Lonchura striata: one gene and its partner. The protein of the gene in region 1 interacts with the protein of each later gene in a biochemical or structural test. Links are inferred from orthologs where the notes say so. Each region holds a gene or a part of one and is shown in the gene's direction. Other genes may lie near its edges.

Evidence for each region.
Region 2: the proteins of NFE2L1 (region 1) and MAFG form a complex in vitro, tested with the Homo sapiens proteins (2 studies listed by BioGRID and IntAct, with this or other methods). The link is inferred for Lonchura striata from reciprocal best matches to the Homo sapiens genes NFE2L1 and MAFG.

Annotation. Positions count from the first base shown.
Region 1 is NC_134627.1:8,343,457-8,354,798, reverse strand, and holds the start of NFE2L1 (endoplasmic reticulum membrane sensor NFE2L1), read left to right. Parts: upstream 1-6,457; 5' UTR 6,458-6,527; exon of another isoform or gene 6,528-6,572; intron 6,573-7,150; 5' UTR 7,151-7,352; intron 7,353-9,200; 5' UTR 9,201-9,202; coding exon 9,203-9,682; intron 9,683-11,342. Other genes in the region: CDK5RAP3 (CDK5 regulatory subunit-associated protein 3), read left to right, coding at 420-625, 1,351-1,522, 1,757-1,822.
Region 2 is NC_134621.1:11,958,362-11,969,935, reverse strand, and holds the start of MAFG (transcription factor MafG), read left to right. Parts: upstream 1-5,885; 5' UTR 5,886-6,022; intron 6,023-6,925; exon of another isoform or gene 6,926-7,066; intron 7,067-9,612; 5' UTR 9,613-9,638; coding exon 9,639-9,674; intron 9,675-9,762; coding exon 9,763-10,215; 3' UTR 10,216-11,574. Other genes in the region: PYCR1 (pyrroline-5-carboxylate reductase 1, mitochondrial), read left to right, coding at 780-846, 955-1,025, 1,118-1,297, 1,899-2,120, 2,587-2,679, 3,064-3,227, 3,326-3,476. UniProt on the Homo sapiens protein: Since they lack a putative transactivation domain, the small Mafs behave as transcriptional repressors when they dimerize among themselves.

The DNA of each region.
Region 1 (11,342 bases):
GGTGGCCCTGATGGTGACCCTGACCATTGCCCTGATGGTGGCCCTGATGGTGGCCCTGATGGTGGCCCTGCTGTGCCCTGTTGGTGGCCCTGGCAGTGGCCTTGGTGGTGGCTCTGGAGGTGGCCCTGGCAGTGGTATTGGTGATGGCCCTGCTGGTGGCCATGGTGGTGGCCCTGCTGTGGCCCCAGTGGTGGCCCTGACAGTGGCCTTGTTGGTGGCCCTGCTGGTGGCCTGGCAGTGGCCCTGGCAGTGGTATTGGTGGTGGCCCTGCTGTGGCCCCAGTGGTGGCCCTGCTGGTGGCCCTGGCAGTGGCCTTGTTGGTGGCCCTGCTGGTGGCCTGGCAGTGGTGTTGGTGGTGGCCCCGCCGTGCCCTGACGCCGCCCGTGCCCTGTCCCCTGTCCCCTGTCCCCTGTCCGCAGCTGGAGCTGTTCCTGGCGCAGCGGCTGCAGGAGCTGGAGGCCGAGGCCGACGTGGTGGCCATGAGCCAGCTGCAGCTGGCCCCGGCCGCGCTGCAGGGCCAGAGCCGCGGGCGGCTGCGGGCGCAGCTGGCCACCGCGCAGGACCTGCTGCGCCAGCTCTGCTCCCGCAGCGTGCAGCACCTCTGCATGATCCTCGCCTCGCCCAGGTGCTGGGACTGCCCCGAAGGGACACACTGCCCCAAAACGGTTCTAAACAGCCCCAAAACGGCCCTAAACAGCCCCAAACTGCCCCAAACTGCCCTGAAACAGCCCCAAAACTGCCCCGAAACAGTCCTAAACTGCCCCAAACGGCCCCAAACTACCCCAAAACAGCCCCAAAACATCCTTAAACAGCCCCGAAATGGCCCTAAACGGCCCTAAACTGCCCCAAAACGGCCTTAAACTGCCCCAAACAGCCGCGTGCTGTCCCCGCTGTCCTGTATCCCCATTGTCCCCCTCCCCGTGGTGACCCATGCTGTCCCGTGTCCCTGCTGTTCCCTGCCCTGCAGCGACTTCTGTCCCATGTCCCCTGCCCCGCAGTGAGCCCTTTCCCGTGTCCCGTGTCCCCCGCCCCACGGTGACCCCGGTGCTGTCCCCTGTCCCATGTCCTGTGTCCCTCTCCCCGTGCTGTCCCGGGTCCCCTCCCCACAGTGACCACTGTCCCCTGTCACCTGTCCCGTGTCCCGTGTCCCTCTCCCCGTGCTGTCCCGTGTCCCATGTCTCCTCCCCATGATGTCCCCTGTCCCCTCCCCACAGTGACCGCTGTCCCCTGTCCCGTGTCCCGTGTCCCGTGTCCCCTCCCCGCGGTGACCGCTGTCCCCTGTCCCGTGTCCCCTGTCCCGTGTCCCGTGTCCCCTCCCCACAGTGACCCTCCTGCTGTCCCGTGTCGCAGGTACGTGGAGCGGGTGGCTGCGCTGCTGCGGCGGCAGCTGCTGCAGGCCGAGCTGCTGCAGGCCAAGCGAGCGGCGCTGGGCCAGCGGCGCCGCCAGGCCCTGGCCGAGCAGGCGGCCCTGGAGCCGCGGCTGCAGCGGCTGCAGGAGAGCAGCCGGGAGCTGCAGCGCCTGGTGAGGGACCCCCGAGAGCCCCCCGAGACTCCCGAAAACCCCTGAGCCCCCCTAAACTCTCCAAGCCCCCCCAAGCAACCCCTGAGCCCCCCAAGAGCCCCCGAAACCCCCTGATCCCCCTGAGCCCTTTCAGAGCCCCAAGAGCCCCCCTGAGCTCCCCCAAGCCCCCCTGAGCCTCCCGAGCCCCCCAAGAACCCCCCGAGCCCCCCTGAGCACCCCCCGGTGCCGTTGCAGATTGAGGCCGACATCTCCAAGCGCTACGGGGGGCGCCCGGTGAACCTGATGGGCGTCAACGTGTGACACTGGGACACCTGGGGACATCGGAGTGGCACCTGTGACACCGGGGGACATCGGCCTGTGACACCTGGGGACATCGGAGTGGCACCTGTGACACCGGGGGACATCGGCCTGTGACACCTGGGGACATCGGAGTGGGACACTGTGACACTTTGGGACATCAATTTAACACCTGGGGACATCAGAGTGTGACACTGGGGACATCAGCCTGGGACCCCCAGGGGACACCAGCCTGTGCCTGTGGCCCCTGATGCCACGGGGGGTCCCCAGGGTGCTGCGCCCATCCCAGCCCCCCCTGCCCACCCGGGGGTGCCGCGGGGTTTGGGGGTGTCGCCGAATAAACCCAAATTTGGTGGCACATCGAGTGGGCTTGTGGCGGGGACAGGGATGGAACAGGGACAGGGACAGGGGACGGGGATGGGGGCAGGGAAAGGGACAGGGACAGGGATGGGACAGGGGGGTGGGGGCCAGACCCGGAGCGGGGCTCGGGGCCACCGGCCCCGCTCCTTTGGGTGCCCCGGGGGGGTCCCATTTCCCAGCAGAGCGGGCGGTGCGTGGGCGCTGTCGCCGGCGCTGGCGGTCCCCGGGCGCGGTGGCACCGGGACCCCGCGATCACCCCAGACCCCCCCTAAACCCCCCCAAACTGGGCCGGACTGGGATAAACTGGGACAAACTGGGCCGGACTGGGCGGGGCTGCTGCGACCAGTGACGTCACCCTCTGACCACGCCCCCTCCGGCAGATGATTGGCTGGTGTCGCGATAGCCCCGCCACATTTCAGGCGTCCCGGCCGCTGATTGGTCCGGCTCTGCTGTGGCACCGCCCCCAGGCGGGGCTGGGAGTTCTCAATGGGGCTGGGGGGTCCCAATGGGTGTTTTGGGGCGCTGTGGGGTGTTTTGGGGCTCTGTGAGGTGGTTTGGGGTGTTTTGGGGCGTTCTGGGGTGTTTTGGGGCGCTGTGGGGTCGCTGTCTCCCCCGCCAGCCCCTTTTTCCCCGTCTTTGTCCCCGTGTCACCCGCGGGGCCTTCGCGCCCCCCCCCCCCCCCCCCCATTCTCCTCCTCCTCCTCCTCCTCCTCTTTGTTCTCGGGCCCGGGGGGACACCGAGGCGACACGGAGCCCCCCGGGCATGGGGATACCCAGGAGGGGGCTGCGCTGGGTTTTGGGGGGCGCTCCGTGCCCTGAACCCCCCCCCCCTCCCCAGCCCCGGCCGGCTCCGCTTTGGGGATCCCCAGGGGAAGGGGAACCCCCTGTGATTGAGGGGGGGCGCTACAATGGGGAGTCCCCAAAAGGGAAGGGGGTTCGTAGGGGTGGAGTTTTGGGGGGTCTCGGGCACCGGGGGTCCCGGTTTGGGGGCTCAGGGCGGGGCCCCGGAGACGGTGGTCCCGGTTTGGGGGGTCAGGGCGGGGTCCCGGATTGGGGGGTCCCGGTTTGGGGGCTCAGGGCGGGGCCCCGGAGACGGTGGTCCCGGTTTGGGGGGTCAGGGCGGGGTCCCATGCGCTGCCGCGGAGCCGCCGGCAGGTGGCGCTGCAGGACCGCGAATGCGCGAAGGGGCGTGGCATAGGGGCGGGGGCAATGTAGGAACGGGCGTGGTCAAATACCTTATTAGGTTGTTCGTACGTGTGTAATGGGCGGGGCTATGCAAATAAATCCGGTGTCGCAGGGGGCTCTGGGAAAGAGCCGCGGCGTTGGGGCCGCGGCGTTGGGGGGCGAAGCGGGGGCGGATTTTGGGGTCCCGGGGGGATTTTGGGGTGCCAAGAGCGCATTTTGGGGTGCCATGGGAGCGTGGGGGGCCCTGGACAGGCCGTGCCAGCTCGGGGGCCTCTGTAGAGTTGGGGTTACCCCCCGAGAATGGGCCAAAACCCGGGTGGGCGGGGGTCCCAAAAAGGGGTGATCCCAATGTGGGGAGGGGTCTGTGGGGTTGGGGGTCCCAAAAAGGGGTGATCCCAACGTTGGGGTGTCCTCAGGATGGTTGTCCCAAGGTTTGGGGGGTCTGTAGGGAACATCCATGGGGAGTGGGGGGTCCCAGCCCCACGGGACCCCTGTGCTGGCCCCACGGAAGTGATCACTCCCTAAGGATTGGGATTTAACAACAAAGCCCCATAAATATCCCAAAAACCCGCCCCGGTAAGGAGGGAAAGAGTCGGGTCCGCCCCGACACCGGATTGGGCAGGAAAATCTTTAATTGTAGCTGGATCCAGCTGGGAAGGACAAACTTCATTAGTGCCTAATTAATCCCTGGATATCATCAACGCTGGGGGAGGATCCCAGACCTGGGAAGGAGCTCCTGGATCCATCCCAAACAATCCCAGTGCCTGCTCCCATTCCCTGAGCTCTCCCAGCCTGGAATTTTCTGGTGGCTCACCCAAATTTTGCCTTGTTTGGGAAAATTTTTGCTTTAATTTTGGGGCTGGAGCGTTTTCCTGGGAGGAAAAAGCAGGGAAGGGGCTCGGTGCCCGCCTCAGTGGCACGAGGTGGGCACGGGGACAGGGCCAGCTGTCCCCAAACAGCGCTGGGGACACTAAAAATAACCCGGGAGGGACAGCCCGGCTCGGGTTCCCGGCTGGAAACTGCCCCGGGCAGGCACGGGAGGGTTTGGGGGGGCTCCCAGACACCCCCTGTTCCAACCCTGGGGGGAATTTAGGGTGGAAAACAGCCCCAAAATCCAACCCTGGGGGGGTTTCAGGGTGGAAAACACCCCCAGAATCCAAACCAGGGGAGTTCAGTGGGAAAGCAGCTCCAAATCTCCATCCCAGGGGGGCTTAGGATGGAAAATACCCCAAAAATCCAACCTTGGGTGGGTTCAGGGTGGAAAACACCCCCAAATCTTCAACCTGCTGGGGCAAGAGCCCCAAAATCCAACCCAGGATGGGTTTAGGGTGGGTAACACCTCCGAAATCCACCCCAGGGTGGGTTTAGGGTGGAAAACACCCCCAAAATCCAACCCTGGGGGGGTTCAGGGTGGAAAATAGCCCCAAAATCCACCCAGAGAATCTCCGGGATCTGGGCACTTCCAACCTCTCCAGCACCTTCCCTTGTCTCCCTGGATCTCTGTAGGTTTTTGGGGGGCACAAAGAGGCTGGGAAACGCCTGGGAGAAGCTGGCCAGGCTCGCCCTGCCGCGAGGTGTGGATCCCACGCCGCTTTCTCCGTGTTTGTTTTGTTTCCCCGGGATGAAGCAGCGCCCGTGGCATCCCGTGTGTCCCGGCAGGTTTGTGGGGCAGGGAAGGAATGGCAGGATCGGGGCGGTGCTGCCAGGGCCTGCCAGCTGCTGGCACGGTGTGGGCAGGGATTGCACAGGGAGCAGGGATGGGCAGGAATCCTCTGTAGATCCATGTGGGAATGGGAGAAAGGGCAGGGATTGCACAGGGAGCAGGGATGGGCAGGAATCCCACAGGGATCTGCGTGGGAAGGGGCAGGAATCCTCTGTGGATCCATGGGGGAATGGGAGGAGGGGCAGGAATCCCACATGGAGCAGGGATGGGCAGCAATCCTGTGTGGATCCATGTGGGAAGGGGAAAAGGGGCAGGAATTCCATGTGGATCTGTGTGGGAAGGGCAAGAATCCCACAGGGATCTGTGTGGGAAGGGGAGAAGGGGCAGGAATCCCACAGGGATCCCATGTAGATCCATGTGGGAATGGGTGAAGGGGCAGGAATTCCATGTGGATCCATGTGGGAATGGGTGAAGGGGCAGGAATTCCATGTGGATCCATGTGGGAAGGGCAAGAATCCCACAGGAATCTGTGTGGGAATGGGAAAAGGGGCAGGAATCTCAGACAGATCCATGTGGGAAGGGCAGGAATCCCATGTGGATCCATGTGGGCAGGAATCCCACAGGGGTTGGTGTGGGAAGGGGCAGGAATCTCACCCAGATCCATCTGGGAAGGGGAGGAATCCCACAGGAATCTGTGTGGGAATGGGAGACGGGGCAGGAATCCCACAGGGATCCGTGAGGGAAGGGGCAGAAATCCTGCATGGAGAAAGGGAGGGCAGGAATCCCATGTGGATCCATGTGGGAAGGGAAGAAGTGGCAGTAATTCTGTGTGGATCCATGCGAGAATGCCCGCGCCATAAAGAACAAAACACCGCTCCCTGTGTGCCCCGGGGGATCAGCCCCGAATCTCCCCGCGGGGACGGGGGAGGCTCCCAGCAGCACCACCCAGGGCTGTAAGGGCGCCGGGAGCTCCCGCGGGCAGCCGGGCTGAGGCGGCGGCCGGGCAGCGGCTGCGGCCCTCAGCGCGCCGGGGCCGCCATGGCGGCCTCACCCCGCCCGTTGCCACGGCAACCGCTGCGGGGGCAAAGCGATTGGTGCGCGCCGCTGCCATTCAAATTCTCTGCGTCGTCTCATTGGTTGATATCGCTGTCACTCAGTAGGGGTTATACGCGCCATTGGGTGGGCGCGCTGTCACTCAAGCACGCAGCGGGGCGAGCCGCGCTTCCCCGCTTCTGATTCTCCATTGGCTCGGCCGCGCCGAGCGCGACGGCCGCCCGCGCCTTCTCGCGCGCCCATTGGTCAGTTCGCCTGCCAATCAAAGCGCCGCCGGGGAGGCGGGAGGCACTCCCAGCCGCTCGCTTCCCATTGGTCCGCGCCGCGCTCTCACCTCCCCTCGGCGGGCGGTGATTGGCGGCGGGGCGGGGGGGGCGGTTGGGCCGGGGCGGGGAGCGGGAGCGGCGGCGGCGGCGGGGCCGGAGCGGCGGCGGCGGAGCCCGGCGGGTACCGGAATCTGTGGCGGAGGGTGCGGGGAGGCGGCGTGCGGAGGTGGCGGCGGCGGCGACGGCGCGCTTGGGGCGGGGCCGGCCGCGCTCTGAGGGGGGACGGCGAGGCCGCGGGAGCGCGCGCGCGGGTGGGGCGGGGTCACGTGGCCGCACCTGGAAAAGGGGGGGGGGGGTGCGAGGTCACGTGGGGCCTTAAAGGGCCCCGGTACCGGGAACGGGAACGGGGCGCGCACGTGGCTCCCCCCCACTGGGGACCCCCAAAAAAACCGGGGACACCCCCCCTATACACACACACCCCCTCAAAAATCCGGGAGCCGCCAGCTCGGCATCCCCCGGCTGCGGGCGCGCACGGCGGGAGCCGCCCCGGTGGGACCGGGAGCGTTCCCGGTTTTCCGTGGAAAAGCCCCGGCGCGGCTGGAAGCACGGCAAGGCGGAAAGGCGGGCGGATTCCTTGGGCCGGCGGGAAGTTGACGCAGCTGCCTAAGAATAGCTCGGGCAGCGGAGGGAGCCCGGGGCGGGCAGGGCACCGGGAATCGCGGCGCGATTCCCGGGATTCGGCGGGGGAAGGCCGGCGGGGTGGCGCCCCGCTGGTACCGAGCTTGCTCTGTGGTTGCGTTGCAGCTGCTGATGAAATCGCAGCCGGGAGCGTCGCAGGCTTTGGACCTTCCCAGGCTCGGGACCTTTGACTCATAAAAGGAGCAGAAAAGGGCGGAAAGCGCCGGGAGAGCGGAGGAGGAGGAGGAGGAGCAGGAGCTGAGGAGGAAGAGCAGAGCCCGGAGCTGCGGGGGACACCGAAAGTCGCTGCATGAGGAGCTTTGGGACAGTAAGTCAACAGGGAATCGGGGATTCCAACTCTCCGCCCGGCATAAAAACAAAAGTCAAGGCGAGGGTGGAGCTGCCGGGGCAGCTCCCTCCTTTAAACTCTGATTATCTCCGCTTCTCCGCGCTCCAATTTCCTGATTTTTGCACAGGAAAACCGAGCTTCGTTGAACTAAAAACCTTTTGAGCGTTCTTTAAACTTTTCTCCCGGTTTTTAGCTGTGCCCTGAAGGGCAGAAACTGTTTGAAAGTGGGGCAGAGCAAAGCCAAACCCACCCAACCTGTTGTGGAGGCTGCGCCTTCCCTCGTTCTCCATCCCCAACCTCACTCTTTATTTTTTATTGACTTTATTTTGTTTTCCCCTCCACCAGAGATTCTCTTTCCAAAGAAACATTTTACAGAAGGCCTGATCCAGCTCACCATCCTGTTTCCCTCACTCTCCATCCCCAACCTCAGACTTTGTTGTGTTTTTAATTAATTTTATTTTGTTTCCTCTGCCCCAGAGTTGCTCTCCCTGAAGAAATACTTCCAGCTCACCATCCTGCTCAGCCTCACTCGCCATCCCCAGACTTCGGTTTTTATTCACTTTTATTTTGTTTCCTCTCCCCCAGAGATGCTCTCCTGATCCAGCTCACCATGTTGCTCAGCCTGTTTGTCCATCCCCAACCTTTGTGATTTTTTGTTATTAATTTTATTTTGTTTTTCTGTCTCTGAAGAAACTTCAGGGAAGGCCTGATCCAGTTCGCCATCCTGTCTCCCTCACTCTCCATCCCCAACCCCAACCTTTGTTGTGTTTTTTATTCCCTTTATTTTGTTTTTCCTTCTCCAGACAGAGATGCTGTCCCTGGAGAAACATGTCAGGGAAGGCCTGATCCAGCTCACCATCCTGCTCAGTCTCATTGTCCATCCCCAGACTTTGGTTTTTATTCACTTTATTTTGTTTCCTCCCGTAGAGATGCTGTCCCTGAAGAAGTACTTCATGGAAGGCCTGATCCAGCTTACCATCCTGCTCAGTCTTGTTTCCCATCCCCAACTTTTGTTTTTTATTCACTTTATTTTGTTTCCTCCTGCAGAGATGCTGTCCCTGAAGAAGTACTTCCAGTTCACCATCCTGCTCAGTCTCGCTATCCATTCTCAATATTTGTGGGTTTTTTTATTCACTTTATTTTGTTTCCTCCCCAGAGATGCTGTCCCTGAAGAAACACTTCACAGAGGGCCTGATCCAGTTCACCATATTGCTCAATCTCACTGTCCATCCCCAGACTTTGTTTTTTATTCACTGTATTTTGTTTCCCTCCCCAGAGATGCTGTCCCTGAAGAAGTACTTCCAGTTCACCATCCTGCTCAGTCTTGTTTCCCATCCCCAACCTTTGTTTTTTATTTGCTTTATTTTGTTTCCTCCCCAGCGATGCTGTCCCTGAAGAAGTACTTCCAGTTCACCATCCTGCTCAGTGTCACTATCCATTCTCAATATTTGTGGGTTTTTTTATTCACTGTATTTTGTTTCCTCCCCAGAGATGCTGTCCCTGAAGAAGTACTTCACGGAGGGCCTGATCCAGTTCACCATCCTGCTCAGTCTCACTATCCATTCTCAATATTTGTGGGTTTTTTTATTCACTGTATTTTGTTTCCTCCCCAGAGATGCTGTCCCTGAAGAAGTACTTCCAGTTCACCATCCTGCTCAATCTCACTGTCCATCCCCACACTTTGTTTTTTATTCACTGTATTTTGTTTCCCTCCCCAGCGATGCTGAGCCTGAAGAAGTACTTCCAGTTCACCATCCTGCTCAGTCTCACTATCCATTCTCAATATTTGTGGGTTTTTTTATTCACTGTATTTTGTTTCCTCCCCAGAGATGCTGTCCCTGAAGAAGTACTTCACGGAGGGCCTGATCCAGTTCACCATCCTGCTGAGCCTGGTGGGCGTGCGCGTGGACGTGGACACGTACCTGGGCTCGCAGCTGCCGCCGCTGCGGGAGATCATCCTGGGCCAGAGCTCGGCCTACACGCAGACGCAGTTCCACCGCCTGCGCGGGCCCTGGGCCGGCCATGGGCTGCCCCCCAAGAGCGCGGGGCTGGAGGGGCTGCCGGGCGCCCGCCGCCTGCTCAGCCTGGACCGGCTGCGCGTGCCCCGCGCCCGCGTCAGCGCCTGGCTGGTGCACCGCGACGCCGAGGCCGCCGTGCCCGCCGGGCAGCCCGGCGCGGCCGGCCCGCTGCAGGACGGCTCCGGCGGCGACGGCGGCGCCCGCGACGGCGCGCCCGAGCAGGGCTTCGGGGAGGAGATGGAGGATCTGGGAGCCGTGGCGGCGCCCGGCAACGGGGATCTCACCAAGGAGGTAGGGAGCACGGGGTCTGGGGGTTTGGGGGGAGGGAGGTGGGGAACGGGGGTTTGGGGGGTTTGCAGGGAGGTTCTGGGGTGGGTTTGGGGGTTGTGTTTGATGGTGCAATGCTGGATTGTGGTCGTGGAGAGAGGTGTCGGTGCTCATCCATGGCCTTGGGTCCTTCCAGGTGTATGGAATGGGGGTGTCAGTGCTCAGCTATGGCACTAGGTCCTTCCAGGTGTATGGAATGGGGGTGTCAGTGCTCATCCATGGCCTTGGGTCCTTCCAGGTGTATGGAATGGGGGTGTCAGTGCTCATCTATGGCCTTGGGTCCTTCCAGGTGTATGGAATGGGGGTGTCAGTGCTCATCCATGGCCTTGGGTCCTTCCAGGTGTATGGAATGGGGGTGTCAGTGCTCATCCATGGCCTTGGGTCCTTCCAGGTGTATGGAATGGGGGTGTCAGTGCTCATCCATGGCACCAGGTCCTTCCAGGTGTATGGAATGGGGGTGTCAGTGCTCAGCTATGGCACTAGGTCCTTCCAGGTGTATGGAATGGGGGTGTCAGTGCTCATCCATGGCCTTGGGTCCTTCCAGGTGTATGGAATGGGGGTGTCAGTGCTCATCCATGGCCTTGGGTCCTTCCAGGTGTATGAAATGGGGGTGTCAGTGCTCATCTATGGCACTAGGTCCTTCCAGGTGTATGGAATGGGGGTGTTGGTGCTGATCTATGGCCCCAGGTCCTTCCAGGGTCATGGAGAAAGGATGTTGATGCTGATCCATGGCCTTGCGTCCTTCCAGGGTCATGGAGAAAGGGTGTCGGTGCTGATCCATGGCCTTGGGTCCTTCCAGGGGTATGGAATGGGGGTGTCGGTGCTGATCCAGGGCCTTGGGTCCTTCTAGGGGTATGGAATGGGGGTGTCAGTGCTGATCCATGGCCCCAGGTCCTTCCAGGGGTATGGAGAGAGGGTGTCAGTGCTGATACATGTATTTGGGTCCTTTCAGGGACATAGAGAAACGTTGTCGGTGCTGATCCAGGGCCTTGGGTCCTTCCAGGTGTATGGAATGGGGGTGTCAGTGCTGGATCGGGGCTGGTATCAGGAATTCTGGGGTGCTTTTCCCTTTTTCTCTGCCCTGTTCTGGCTCCAGTGCTGGATCGGGGCAGGTGTCAGTAATTCTGGGGTAGTTCCGGGGCACTTTTCCCATTTTCTCTGCCCTGTTCTGGCTCCAGGGGAGCAGTGGAAGGAGGGGGAAGGAGCTGGGGGCCCCTCGTGACTCTGGGGATTGGGAAAGAGCAATCCAGCTGGGAAATCAACAGCAGCGTTGGGAAACAGCCCTGGCCCAGGTGTGGAGCAGGTGGTTGGGCTGGAGCCCGGCCAGGAGCTGGGCCTCCCTCAGTTCTCCTCCCAAAATTCAGTTCCTCCCCCAGTTCTCCTCCCAAAATTCAGTTCCACCCCCAGTTCTCCTCCCAAAGTTCAGTTCCTCCCCCAGTTTTCCTCCCAAAGTTCAGTTCCTCTCCCATTTTTCCTCCCAAAGTTCAGGTCCTCAATTTTCCTCCCCAGAATTCAGTTCCTCCCAAAGTTCAGTTCCTCCCTCACTTTTCCACCCCAGAATTCAGTTCCTTATTCAGTTTACCTCCCCAAAATTCAGTTCCTCACTTAATTTTCCTCCCAAAAT
Region 2 (11,574 bases), on another chromosome or scaffold:
CATGATTTAGTTCACCGAACCCCCTTCATTTCCAGAGTGTATCTCCCCCTTTAATTAATAGATTATGATCAAGTAGCTCCCCAAGAACCAGGTTGTCCCAGTCACCAACCATTCCCAGCCTCTTTTGGTAAACTAATGTTAGGATTTATGTGTGTTCATTAATTATGGACTTGTGGCTGTAGCCAATCTAGACAGCACCCAGAGGATTCCAGCATGAAATCTGAATTGTTAATGGTTTGGTTTAGGTTTTTGCCTTCTTTTTTGGAGTCCTGGTGTTCAGTATCCACAAAAGATCACTGTTTAGGAACATTTATCAACAGAAAAAAACATTGAGATTTATTTCTTCCAATAAAGAAACAAGGAAAAAAAACGAACAAATAAAAAGAAACCCCAGTGAGGAAAGATGATACTTAGGAAAAAAAATCACTGCGTGCCGCCTGGGTTTTACAGGAACACTTGACGCGGCCTGACGTCTCCAGAGCCCAGGGCCGCTGCGGTGAGCCCCGGCGGGAGCAGGGCGCCACCTGCCGGCACGGGGCGGCGCGGCGGGCGGCGAATGATGCAACACCGGCCGCCGCTTGCCCCAATCGCTGGCGAGCGCTGCGCCGCTGGCCCCGCCCCCGCCCGCTGAGTGGTGGAGCGCCGGCGCTGCCCCGCCCCGCTGCGCGCCGATTGGCTGCGCGCCCACGTCCCGCCGCGCGGTCTCGCCTCCGTGCGCGCGCGGCCACGTGGGCAGCGGCGCGGCCGGGTCTGGCGGGCCGGGACCGGCGGGCACCGGCATGAGCGTGGGCTTCATCGGCGCGGGGCAGCTCGCCTTCGCCCTGGCCCGCGGCTTCACCGCGGCAGGTGCGCGCGGGGCAGTTCGCCTTCGCCCTGGCCGGGGGCTTCATGGGGGCATGAGGACACGGGGCGGGTGGTGCCCGTCCCGGGGCTGACGCTCAGGGTCGTTCGTAGGGGTCCTGGCTGCGCACAAGATCACGGCGAGCTCCCCGGACACTGACCTGCCCACCGTGAGCGGGCTGCGGGTGAGTGCGGCCGGGTAGCGGGGACCGGGTGGCGGCGCTCCCCTCTCGGGCCATCCCGGGCTTGAGCGGTCCCGTTTCTCCCCACTGTGCAGAAAATGGGAGTGAACTTCACGGTGAGCAACAAGGACACGGTGAAGAGCAGCGATGTCCTCTTCCTAGCCGTAAAGCCGCCCATTATCCCCTTCATCCTGGAGGAGGTGGGCCCCGACATCGAGGCCCGGCACATCGTGGTCTCCTGCGCTGCCGGCGTCACCATCAGCTCCATCGAGAAGGTGAGAGGGGACCGGGCCGTGCAGGGCGAGCCGGGAGCTGGTTCCACTCCTCTGACCCCGCGGAGCCGATGGACGGACTTGTCGTACTTGTGCTACTCAGGACTAAAGTCACGCAGCAGCAAAAAACTTGGTTTTGGTCACCTTTGCCTGTCTTCATCAGCAAATGCTATTAGAGGTTTTATCCAGCTTTTCTCTCACGTGAGGTGCTGTCCGATTATGTTTCTATTACCAGCAGTAGGTCATCTCCCCTGAATTTCTGCAGAATTTGTCTTAAGTGTCTGCAGGAGCTGTTTTGGAGATCTGTGGGTTGATGTGGGTTTGAGGCCTTTGGGATACTGTTTCCAACCTGATTTTGCCCAGCTCCTGCTTTGCTGGTACTGACTAAGGCTTCACGTTCACGGATGGGCTGCTGTGACTCAAAGCAGGACATTTGAGATACACAGGTCTCTCTTTTCCTTCTGCTTGTGTTGTTCTTGCCCCTGGTGGGGGGGGTCCTTTCCTGGACAGCCCATTGATGAAAAGTATGCACTAAAGCTCATTTTTCTCCCTTCTTTCTTTTTTTTTTTCTTACTTTCTATCTTCAATGATTTTCTGCCCTAAGAAACTCTCTACCTTCTGCCCCACACCAAAAGTGATCAGGTGCATGACCAACACCCCTGTGATAGTCCGGGAAGGTGCTACAGTCTATGCCACTGGAACTCATGCGGATGTGGAAGATGGGAAGCTTTTGGAACAACTGATGGCCAGTGTGGGCTTCTGCACCGAGGTGGAAGAGGACCTCATTGATGCTGTAACGGGGCTCAGTGGCAGTGGCCCTGCGTATGTATGTGCTATTTCATCAGCTAGTGCCAGTCTTAGGGAGAGCAGTTGGCTTGCCTGCTAAAAAATCTGTGCAACTTCAGCTTGTATTTTTTTTTTTTCTCCATCACCCATATTTGCAATGGGACATGTATTCCAGGTGTTCAGTTTGGGGCAGCAGGAAAATTTTTTTAAGAGTCAGATGAGTCTGAAGTCCATAGCCAGTGTGCAGTGTCCACATGTCCATGTTGCAAAACTTGGGCCTGTAGTTTGCATGATGCAGAAGCTGAATTTCTCCCATTCCCTCCACTCCTGAGCTGGAAATAGTTTGAGGGAAGCCTGGCATGGCAGCCATGAATGAAAGAGGGAGGCATTTTGTCAAGTCTGTGAGTGATAGGAGTCACAGAACAGTCCTAAAGGCCTGGATTCTCTCTTCCCTAAGACCAGTCCTAGAGCAGTCTTTCAGTCACCTTCTTCCTCTCTGGTCTCAGGCATTCACTGCCCTGGATGCTCTTGCAGATGGAGGAGTAAAGATGGGCCTTCCCCGCAGGCTGGCAGTTCGACTGGGAGCACAGGCTTTGCTGGTCAGTATTACCTCCTGCATAACAAATCTGAGTCTGTGCCTGCTCTTTGCAGAGGAATCTACACATCACAGTTTGAAATTATCTTGGTCCTCTCACAGAATCTGCTTTAAAGAATGGATTTGGTTTGAATGCACACAGGTTCCTGGTGAGGGGCTCTAGGAAGTGTCTGCAGCACTCTGCTGGTGCTGCTGGTGCTGTGGGAGATGGATCCTGGGAAACTCTGCTCCTTTGCAGGCCTCATCAGTTCTGAAAAATGTTTTGGCAGCCTGCAGGAGCCTAGGTTTGCCTGTTGTGAGTGTTGTTGCTGCTCTGTGCAGTGAGAACAGGAGTGTCTGACAGTGGCTTCCTCTTTCAGAACTCTGGCAGGTGTTTTCCTTGCTACAGGGTGCCGCCAAAATGCTGTTAGAATCTGAGCAGCATCCAGGTCAGCTGAAGGACAATGTCTGCTCACCTGGGGGAGCCACTATCCATGCCCTGCACTTCCTGGAGAGTGGCGGCTTTCGCTCACTCCTCATCAATGCTGTGGAGGCTTCCTGTATCCGGACAAGGTGGGCAACTGGGAAGTCCTAAAGAGTTTGCAAGACTTTCCCCCTCCACTCTCCCCATCTTATTTTTTCTGTCTTCCTCTCCCACTACCCGATTGCAGGGAGCTGCAGCATTTGGCAGACCAAGAGAAGATTTCCCCGGCAGCCATAAAGAAAACATTGCTGGACAAGGTGAAGCTGGAGTCTCCTTCTCTGTCTGTAGCATCTGCTAGCAAAGTCAGTCTGTTCACCAGCAAGAGCAAGAAGAACTGACCAGACTGCTATATTCTGGCAGTGCTGAATGTCAATGTCCTGGTTGCAGCCAGGACAGGGTTAATTTTTGCAGTAGCCAGGAATAGGTGGCCAGGACCCTGGTTATTCTGTGCATCTTAAGTGTGGGCAAAGGGGGGGGAGGAAGGCTTGAAGCAGGGGAGAGGGGCTGAAGAGGGGTGGGAAGAAGGGGTCCCTTCTGGCTGGTTGCATGACGCGAGTAGTGGTGAGCAACCACGTGTGAATCCTTCACCTCTCTTCTACGCTTTTCTTAATATTGATGCTGTTATTATTTGTTTTCTTATCTCATTACTGCTTCCAGTAAATTGTTCTTGTAGCAAACCACAATCTTTACCTTTTGTGCCTCCAGTTCTCCTCTCCAGCCCACCACAGAGGGAGACGGACAAGAGGGCAGTGAGTGAGCGTTTGAGTATTTCAGTGGGAATGCTAGTACAGGGAATACCATTCCTAAGCCATTATTGTTCTCTGTGTTATTTCTCTTTTGTCCAAGGAAAAATACTCAGCACGTTGGTGTCCCCTGTACCAGGCTTGTGGCTTGCAGCAGCTGTAGCAGAGGGTCTTTAACTTGTAGTGGGCTTGGTGAGCTGTCCCTGGCATGGTGTTTTCTTGGGCAGGGGTGATGCTCTCATCAGAGCTTTGTCAAGGAAATCATTTGTCCAGAAGCCTTGGGTACTTCCAGGACTCAAGCAGTGTTTGTGGTGTCCCATGCAGAAATTTTTTTAACAGGATTTTTAAAGATGTTTCAGAACTTTTGGTTTCAAACGTTTAATTATCTCTAGCCCCATCTTGCACCTGCTGTCAGAGCTTATGTCCTGTCGCTGGCGTTACTAGCTGGAGCAGATGCTGCCACACAAAGTCCATACTGCATGGTGCATCATGGGCTGGGCCCAGAATCACCTCTTGGAACAGACCAACTGCCTCTGTCCGATCTCCCAGCCCTTAGGGAGATATGAACATCAGACTGTGCTCCTTTTCTCTCCAGCGGCTGCCCATTCTCTCTGCGCAGTCTGGTTTGGGGAACTGTGACCTCTCACTGCCCCTCTTTTACTGCTGGCCTTCCTTGGGTGGTTTGGCAGGTGGAGGGGTAGTGAGTTTTTACATTTCCTGCTGTCTCTGAGGTGCTGGTGACGGTAAAGTATTTTTAGTGTTAAGACTTTTGACTGCCAGCAAGGTATGACCCTATAGGTATGACAGATGGTTACTCCTCTTCCCTCTTTACATAAAAAACTGTGTCTCTGATGAGAGCTGTGGCTAATCCCAACTGCTTTGACTGGGGGTATCCCTTGCCACTGGCAGTGGCCACTAGGTCAGGAGTCCTTGGGTCTCATATGTTCCTCGGTTTCCTGCTCAGGATCTGTAATACCTGTGCTGACAGGCCAGGCTGGAGGTCAGACGGATAAAGTACTGCCTGATGCAAAATGCAAGGAAGTGTTGTGGAAAGAGTTCTCACTTGGCTGAAAAAGTGGGATGCAGAATGAATGGATGCCTGAACTTGACCCCCTCTGCCAGGAGATTAAGGGGGTGCCCCTGGGTACTCCCAGAGACACAGCTGTAGATGAACTTCCTAGATCGTTATAGACCTGTAACTGAGGTGGGCACCAGAGCGGATGGAAACCCAGCCCATCAGGGGCTACAAGAGGCGTTGCAAGGCGTGCGGTCACATCCCCTGTGCACAGAGCAGCTGCTGCTGGATCCGGGCCCAGCCGAGCCCCTGCTGCTCCTACGGGGCACAGTTTCTCCTTAACCCCTTGTGCCCGCTTTCATTGCTGGACTTTCCACTGGCCCCTCGCCCTTCTCTGGTATGCTCATGTTGTCCTCCCTTCTTGGCCTGTAGCATGGCATCAAACAGTAGGCACCAGTGTGAGTGTCGTGGACCCGAATCGTATCAGGAGGGCCGGGAACACACCTGGAGCGAGCCCGGCGTGACTGGGAAAGCGGCGTTTCGGAGCAGTGGTGGTCCCGGCCCTACCGCTGCAGGCGGGGCCCGCCGCACACGGAGCCGGGCTCCGAGGGACCGCGGGCGCAGCTCAAAGGGAGCGCGGAGCCGCCGGTGCCGAGGGCCCTGCCGGTGCGGGCGGAGGGACTGCGCGCTATGAAACGCGCGACGTGCCACGGGGGAGAGCGCAGGAGGCCGGTGGCTGCTGTCAGAGACGGCGGAAGCTGATCCGCGGCCGACCCAGTACTTTGCCGGAGCGGCAGCGCTCGCCCCGGGACGGGAAGTCGACTGCGGCGGCGGGAGGCGCCGGCAGGGCGCGGAGCGGGCGCCGGGCCGGTCCCGGTCGGGCCGGGGCCGGTCCCGGTCGGGCCAGTCCCGGTCGGGCCGCGTTCCCCCCGCTGCCCCCGGGGAGCGCGGCCCCCTTAAGGCCCGGGGCGGTTGCGCCGGGCGCTTCATGAATGGAGCCACGTGACCCAAATATCACGTGACGAGTCGGTGAGCGGCGGCGGCGGCGGCTCGTGAGTCCCGGTCCCTCCCAGCGCGGCCTCCCTGCCCCGCCCGGCCTGGCCTGGCCCGGCGGCCCCGGCAGGAGGTGAGCGCCACCGGCAGCGAGAGCGGGCGCGGCCTTGGCACCGGCCGGGGTGGGGCGGGCCGGTCCCCGGGGGCGGGCCGGGGCGGGGCGGGCACGGCGGGCCCCGGGATGGTGGCCGGGGCCGCTGCGGGGTCGGCAGTTGCCCAACGGGGCCGCCACCGCTGACTCACAGCGGGGCTTTGGGGTCGCGCCGGCCCGGCGCCGCCCGGCCCCCGCCCCGCCCCGCCCCGCCCCGGCGTGTCCGGGCCCCGCTCGGCGGCCGAGCAACAGGTGCGCGGGGCGCTGGCCCGGGGCCTGCCCCGGCCCTGCCCACCGCCTCCCGGGTCCGCCCGCAGGCATCGCGGGCGCATCCGGCCCCTCCCTCCCGCGGGTGTCGAATGCCCCGGTCGGGTTACAGACCGGCTGCCCTCAGGCCGAACCTGCCCCTCTTAACCCCGCCGCACCTTCGGGCGCTCAGGCCCCCGGCGGGGCCTCGCGTCCCCCTCTCCCGCCGGGCTGCCGCCCCCAGCCCCGCGGGTGTTCGCCGTGGTCTGTCGTTCTTCTCCAGAGAACGGGAGGGCCGGGAGGGTGAGGAGCCATCGGGGCGTCTCGCCCGGTTCCCAGGGCAGAGTCAGGCAGCACAGCCCCGCTGCCTGCTGTCGGTACCTTGTCCTCGGTAGCTGCAGACGTGCGGGTGGGAGGTTCTGGTCCGTAGGGGCTGCCCGGTGCTGGGCGCTGCAGTGTCCCCCCGGTGGAGTGGGTTTCCACTCCCGCGGGAATGCTGTGTGCGACCGGCACGGAGGGGCTGCGTGCGTCTGTGCTGTGCACGCCTCGGTCGTGCTGTTCCGAGCTGGGCACGTCTCTGGCTGCCCGGGATATGTGAACTGTGTGATCGGAGGAGGGCACTGCCAAGGGTGGGAGGGAGTCTCTCAGAGCTGGCCCTTTGCTTTAGCAGTGTGAGCAGAGTTAAAACCAGCCGGGTGGGCAGATTCCTTGAGGAAAAAATTGCTCAGGGTTGGATGACCTCGCCAAGGAAACAGAGGAGGCACTATCTTGGCTACACAGGTAATTTGGGGAGTCGTTGGATGAGACTGTGTGAGCCAATTTGCCAGCAAGCAAATAAACAGAGTATGAAATTCACACTGGAAGAGAGTGTTTCTGTGCTGTGTCCCCTTTCGCTGCTGACAAATCACACTCCTGTGCCTGCCAGAGCCATGGAGCCCGTGTGGGAGCGCAGCCCTCACTCTGCCCGCGCTGGAGCAGGTGACATCACCATGTTTACATGGGGCTTGTGGCAGGGTTCTGCATCAGGAGTGCGGAGAAGGGCCCATGGTGGATCATGCGTGGTGCTTTCAGTTCCCATGTGCTGCCACTAGCTGAGGGGAGAATTGGCTGTGCTTGTGCTGAGTTCAGGCCTTTTGAGCACTGGGGAAATGTGTCAAGGCTGCAGTTTCTTCATTGCAGCCATAGTATTTGGCACTTTTCAGTGTGATCTTTCTTCAGGAAGCTATCAAAAGCTGATCCATCAGCAGTCTGGAGAATAAGGCGAAGTTTGGTCTCTGCTATTTTGCCAGTTCTCTGGATGTCCTCCTTGTGAGTTGCCAAACAGCCCAGTTAAAACAGGACCCAGGAAACTCTTTGGGTTGTTCTTTCCATTCTACTGACTGCCCTACATGTTTCTGCACCTTGGAGAGGTGGGATCACCAGGTTTTTGGGGACAATCTGTTGCAGCTCTGATGACTGTTGTGAGAGGCTCCTACCTGAGAGGGTGTTGTGCTAGAGTGTGCAGGGGCAGGAAGGAGTAGCTGCCTCTGCTGTGTCTAGCTTTGCCAGCACCAGCCATTCCCCAGCCTGCTGAGGAGCGCTCTTCCCAGTGCCCTGCCTGATGCAGCATGCATGTGCCCTGTTTGTTCCATTTTGGGTCTGCTGTAATGAAGGTAGCCTGTGTGCTTACCAGGTAGCTGCAAATTCTTTAGTGCCACAGAGTGAGCAAATTCCTGTGGTTGCACTGACCATACCTATCCTTGACTCCTTCCACTTGAAAGAGGACAGGGAACGCAAGTGCTGCAGGGGCATGCACATTGGTGTCTCCAGCTATTCCCTTTCCTCTCCCCTTTTCCTAGCAGACATGTTGTTTACCAGATAGGAACAGAAGGAATAAAGAGCAGTCTAGGAAGGAGGGAAGAATTGATTTTGTGCAGCAGTTGCTTTTATGCTGCCTGTCCTGCCTCACTGCAGCTGCCTTCCTTGGGCAGTAAATGACCGTGCCTATGCCAGTGTGGTTGGGTGTAGCAGACATCTTGTTGGAAGGAGCATTGTCCTCTAGGTATATATAAATAGCCTGGCTCCTGGCAGGCTGCAGGCTTCAGAATATCTCTGCTGGTGTTCTGGGGACTGCTAGTCCTGCTCACCTCCAGTAGGGTGTAGTTGCACTGTAGGGAGCCTGTGCCACAGCTGCTGAAAGAGCACTAAGTCATATTTGCTGATGTGTGCATTTGGTTCTGGTCTGTAACTTGACATCAGTCCTGCTGGGAGTAAGGCAGGGGCAGACAAAATTGTTGTTTGACACCTGCAAGATGAAAGGGTCAGGGGTACCTGTAGGCTGCACAGGAATTCTGGCCAGGGCTGAGTGGGCGCAGTCTGGGCTGAGAGGGAAGTGCACTTTGGGGTGTTTGAGATACAGCCATGTCTGTCAGGTGCTATCTGTGTGGATCAATTCCTTGGGCAGTGTAGTAGCAGTCTGAACTGAAAAGCCTGCACAGAGGAGATATGTGGGGAAAGAAGCAGGAGCCCAGGTATAAGTCTCTTTAAAGCAGGCCTGGGAATTGCTCTTACCAGTTCTGAAGTCTTGTCTTCCATGGCAGGGAAGGAGTCTGCTCTGAGTTTTGGTATGTTTAATCTTTGTTTTCTTGTGAGCACACCTTGACTCTTAGGATAAGGAGGAAGAAGGTGTTTCTGGCCCTGGCATGCCAGGAATTGACAGGTACTTTCTCATAGAAAATACCTACAACTGGAGTCAGTTTTGCATGACTGGGAGAGGTGGAGGCTGCTGAGGCATCAGCCTAAATTTGTGTTGGAATTCCAGTGTGTCCATGGCTTGCCCTGTACCCCTTGCTCAGGGTTATGTCTTATTGAACCATCCTTGGGAGCATCTGGAGAGCTCTAGGGCTGGGCACCTGTTGGAAGGGTACGTTAAGGTAACCTGACCTGCTTGGGAGTGACAAGGATGAGGCTGGGAGTGAGTGGAGCAGAGTGCCAGCCTGCTGAGTCAGCGTGACTGGCCTGGAGCAGCCATGCTCTGGACCCTGCCTGCTGCTTGCAAGGCTATTTTTAAAAATGTGGCTTCCATGTATTCTGATTCCTCCTAGTTCTTTAATTTCCCCCACCATAAACAAAACCCAGCATTGCCACAGTCTCCATGGGAGCAGAGGTGTGAAAGGGCAGCAGTTTCTGCTCATTGTGAGTCCAGCTCAGCTGGCTGCTTTTGATTGTCTTCCATGGCAGGGGCCAGGATGTGGAGCACCACAAGGCGTTGCTGCTGGACCCTGCCAGAGGAATGCCGTGGGCTCTGCTATGTCCCAGGTGCTAATTTGGCCTTCCTTCCCTTCCAGAACCCAGCTGACAAGGCTGTCGTGTTATGACGACCCCCAACAAAGGAAGCAAGGCCTTGAAGGTAATGTGGTGGGTGGAGGAAAGGGGTGCAGGGATGGGTGTAGGCATCCACCTCAGGTTTCACAAGTGCGTGCTGCCTTCTCTCCCAGGTGAAGAGAGAGCCAGGTGAGAATGGGACCAGCTTGACAGACGAGGAGCTGGTGACCATGTCTGTGCGAGAGCTGAACCAGCATCTGCGGGGTCTGTCGAAGGAGGAGATCATCCAGCTGAAGCAGCGTCGGCGCACACTGAAGAACCGGGGTTACGCGGCCAGCTGCAGAGTGAAGCGCGTTACCCAGAAGGAGGAACTGGAGAAGCAGAAGGCAGAGCTGCAGCAAGAAGTGGAGAAGCTAGCCTCAGAGAATGCCAGCATGAAAATGGAACTTGATGCTCTCCGCTCCAAATATGAGGCTCTCCAGAACTTCGCCAGAACCGTGGCCCGGAGTCCCGTGACCCCTGCACGGGGGCCTCTCGCTTCCAGTATGGGGCCCCTCGTCCCTGGCAAGGTTGCTACTACTAGTGTCATCACAATAGTGAAATCCAAAACGGACGCCCGGTCTTAGTGAAGCGAGCGTTGCCTGAGCTTGTCTGTGCAGGGCAGTTAGGCACAAAACCAGCCTGGAATCCCCAAAGCACAAGCCCTCCCCACATGGGTCTGGCTTCCTTTGACTTGGCCCAGGATTGGCCTGCTGATCGCTCCAGTTTGTTTTGTTGTGTCCAGATTGGTATGAGCAGTGGTGATGCATCCCTTGTCCTGTGCAGACAGAGCTTTCCACCCAGCAGTCTGTAATCCTCAGGTGCCCTGGGGACAGACTGTGAGATTTTGGTTTTCTACCCAAAGAAAATCTGTGCAGTGTGGCTGAGAGAAGGGTGGAGGAGTGGCCCGAGGAAGGCTTTCTTCCTGGGGGCTGGGAACCCTAATTTTCGGTCACTTCCAAAGGCTTTATTTCATTACTCTTCCAGGTGGTGCATCTCAGCGCCTGAACCTGCTGCTTTTGTCTCCTTTGGTACCTGTAGTTACAGTTGGGGTGTTCTGTGTCATAGGTTTTATTCCTTCCTAGGTGTGCCTCTGTACCCTAACCATGGGTTCCCTCAGACGTCCATGACATTAGCTGTGTAAACTGGCAGTGGTGGAAGGACGATGCTGCTGTGTTCTGCCGATGTGGTCCTGCGGCCCCGCAGGGCCCAGCACCCGGGAGGGAAGAAGGGAGCAGTAGTATTGTGTTGACTGCAGGCCGGTTTTGTGCCTAATGTGTTGCACTGAACAAGACCAAAATCACTAATTGTTCCCGTGTTTTGAGGGTATCAAGTGTCTCTAGTGTGATGGTTTACACAACCAGTTTATGTGGTTAAATAGCCCTTTATTTAAAGAGAGAAACATCATTTTAAGAATTATTAAATTATCTGAGTTTAAAATTGGACAGAAGAGAGAGCGTATTTATAGTCAGCTTTTTTACCTGAGAAGGTGAGAATATTTGACCATATGAGTGGGGAAATATTCTCAGAGACTTTGCTAGTTAAAAGTTAATAAATAAATAATTTTAAAGTTTCTCATAAACCTCCCGCAAACTGTTTGTTGCTCTGAGGTTAGTTTTTATAAAGAGTTATCAGACTTTATTTATAAAACTTAGAAAAAGACAAAAAAAGAGGCAAGTCCTGTTTGATATCTTTTTGCAATTGTACCAAAAGTGACTTATTCTTGACCTTGCTAGTTTCTGTTGTGTCCCCTTGTGTTGGGCGCTCTGCTCCCCAAGCTCTTGTGCAGCGTTGTGGTGTGCTGGTGCCTTTGCCATGTGCTGTCATTTCACACTGTTGTTGTTTTCCCTAAACTCAACTGAGGGATTGAGTTGAAATCTCTCCAAATTCTTCAGAAGGGTTCTGGTGCACAGGCGAAGTTCTGCTGCTTTTGAGAAGAATTGCTG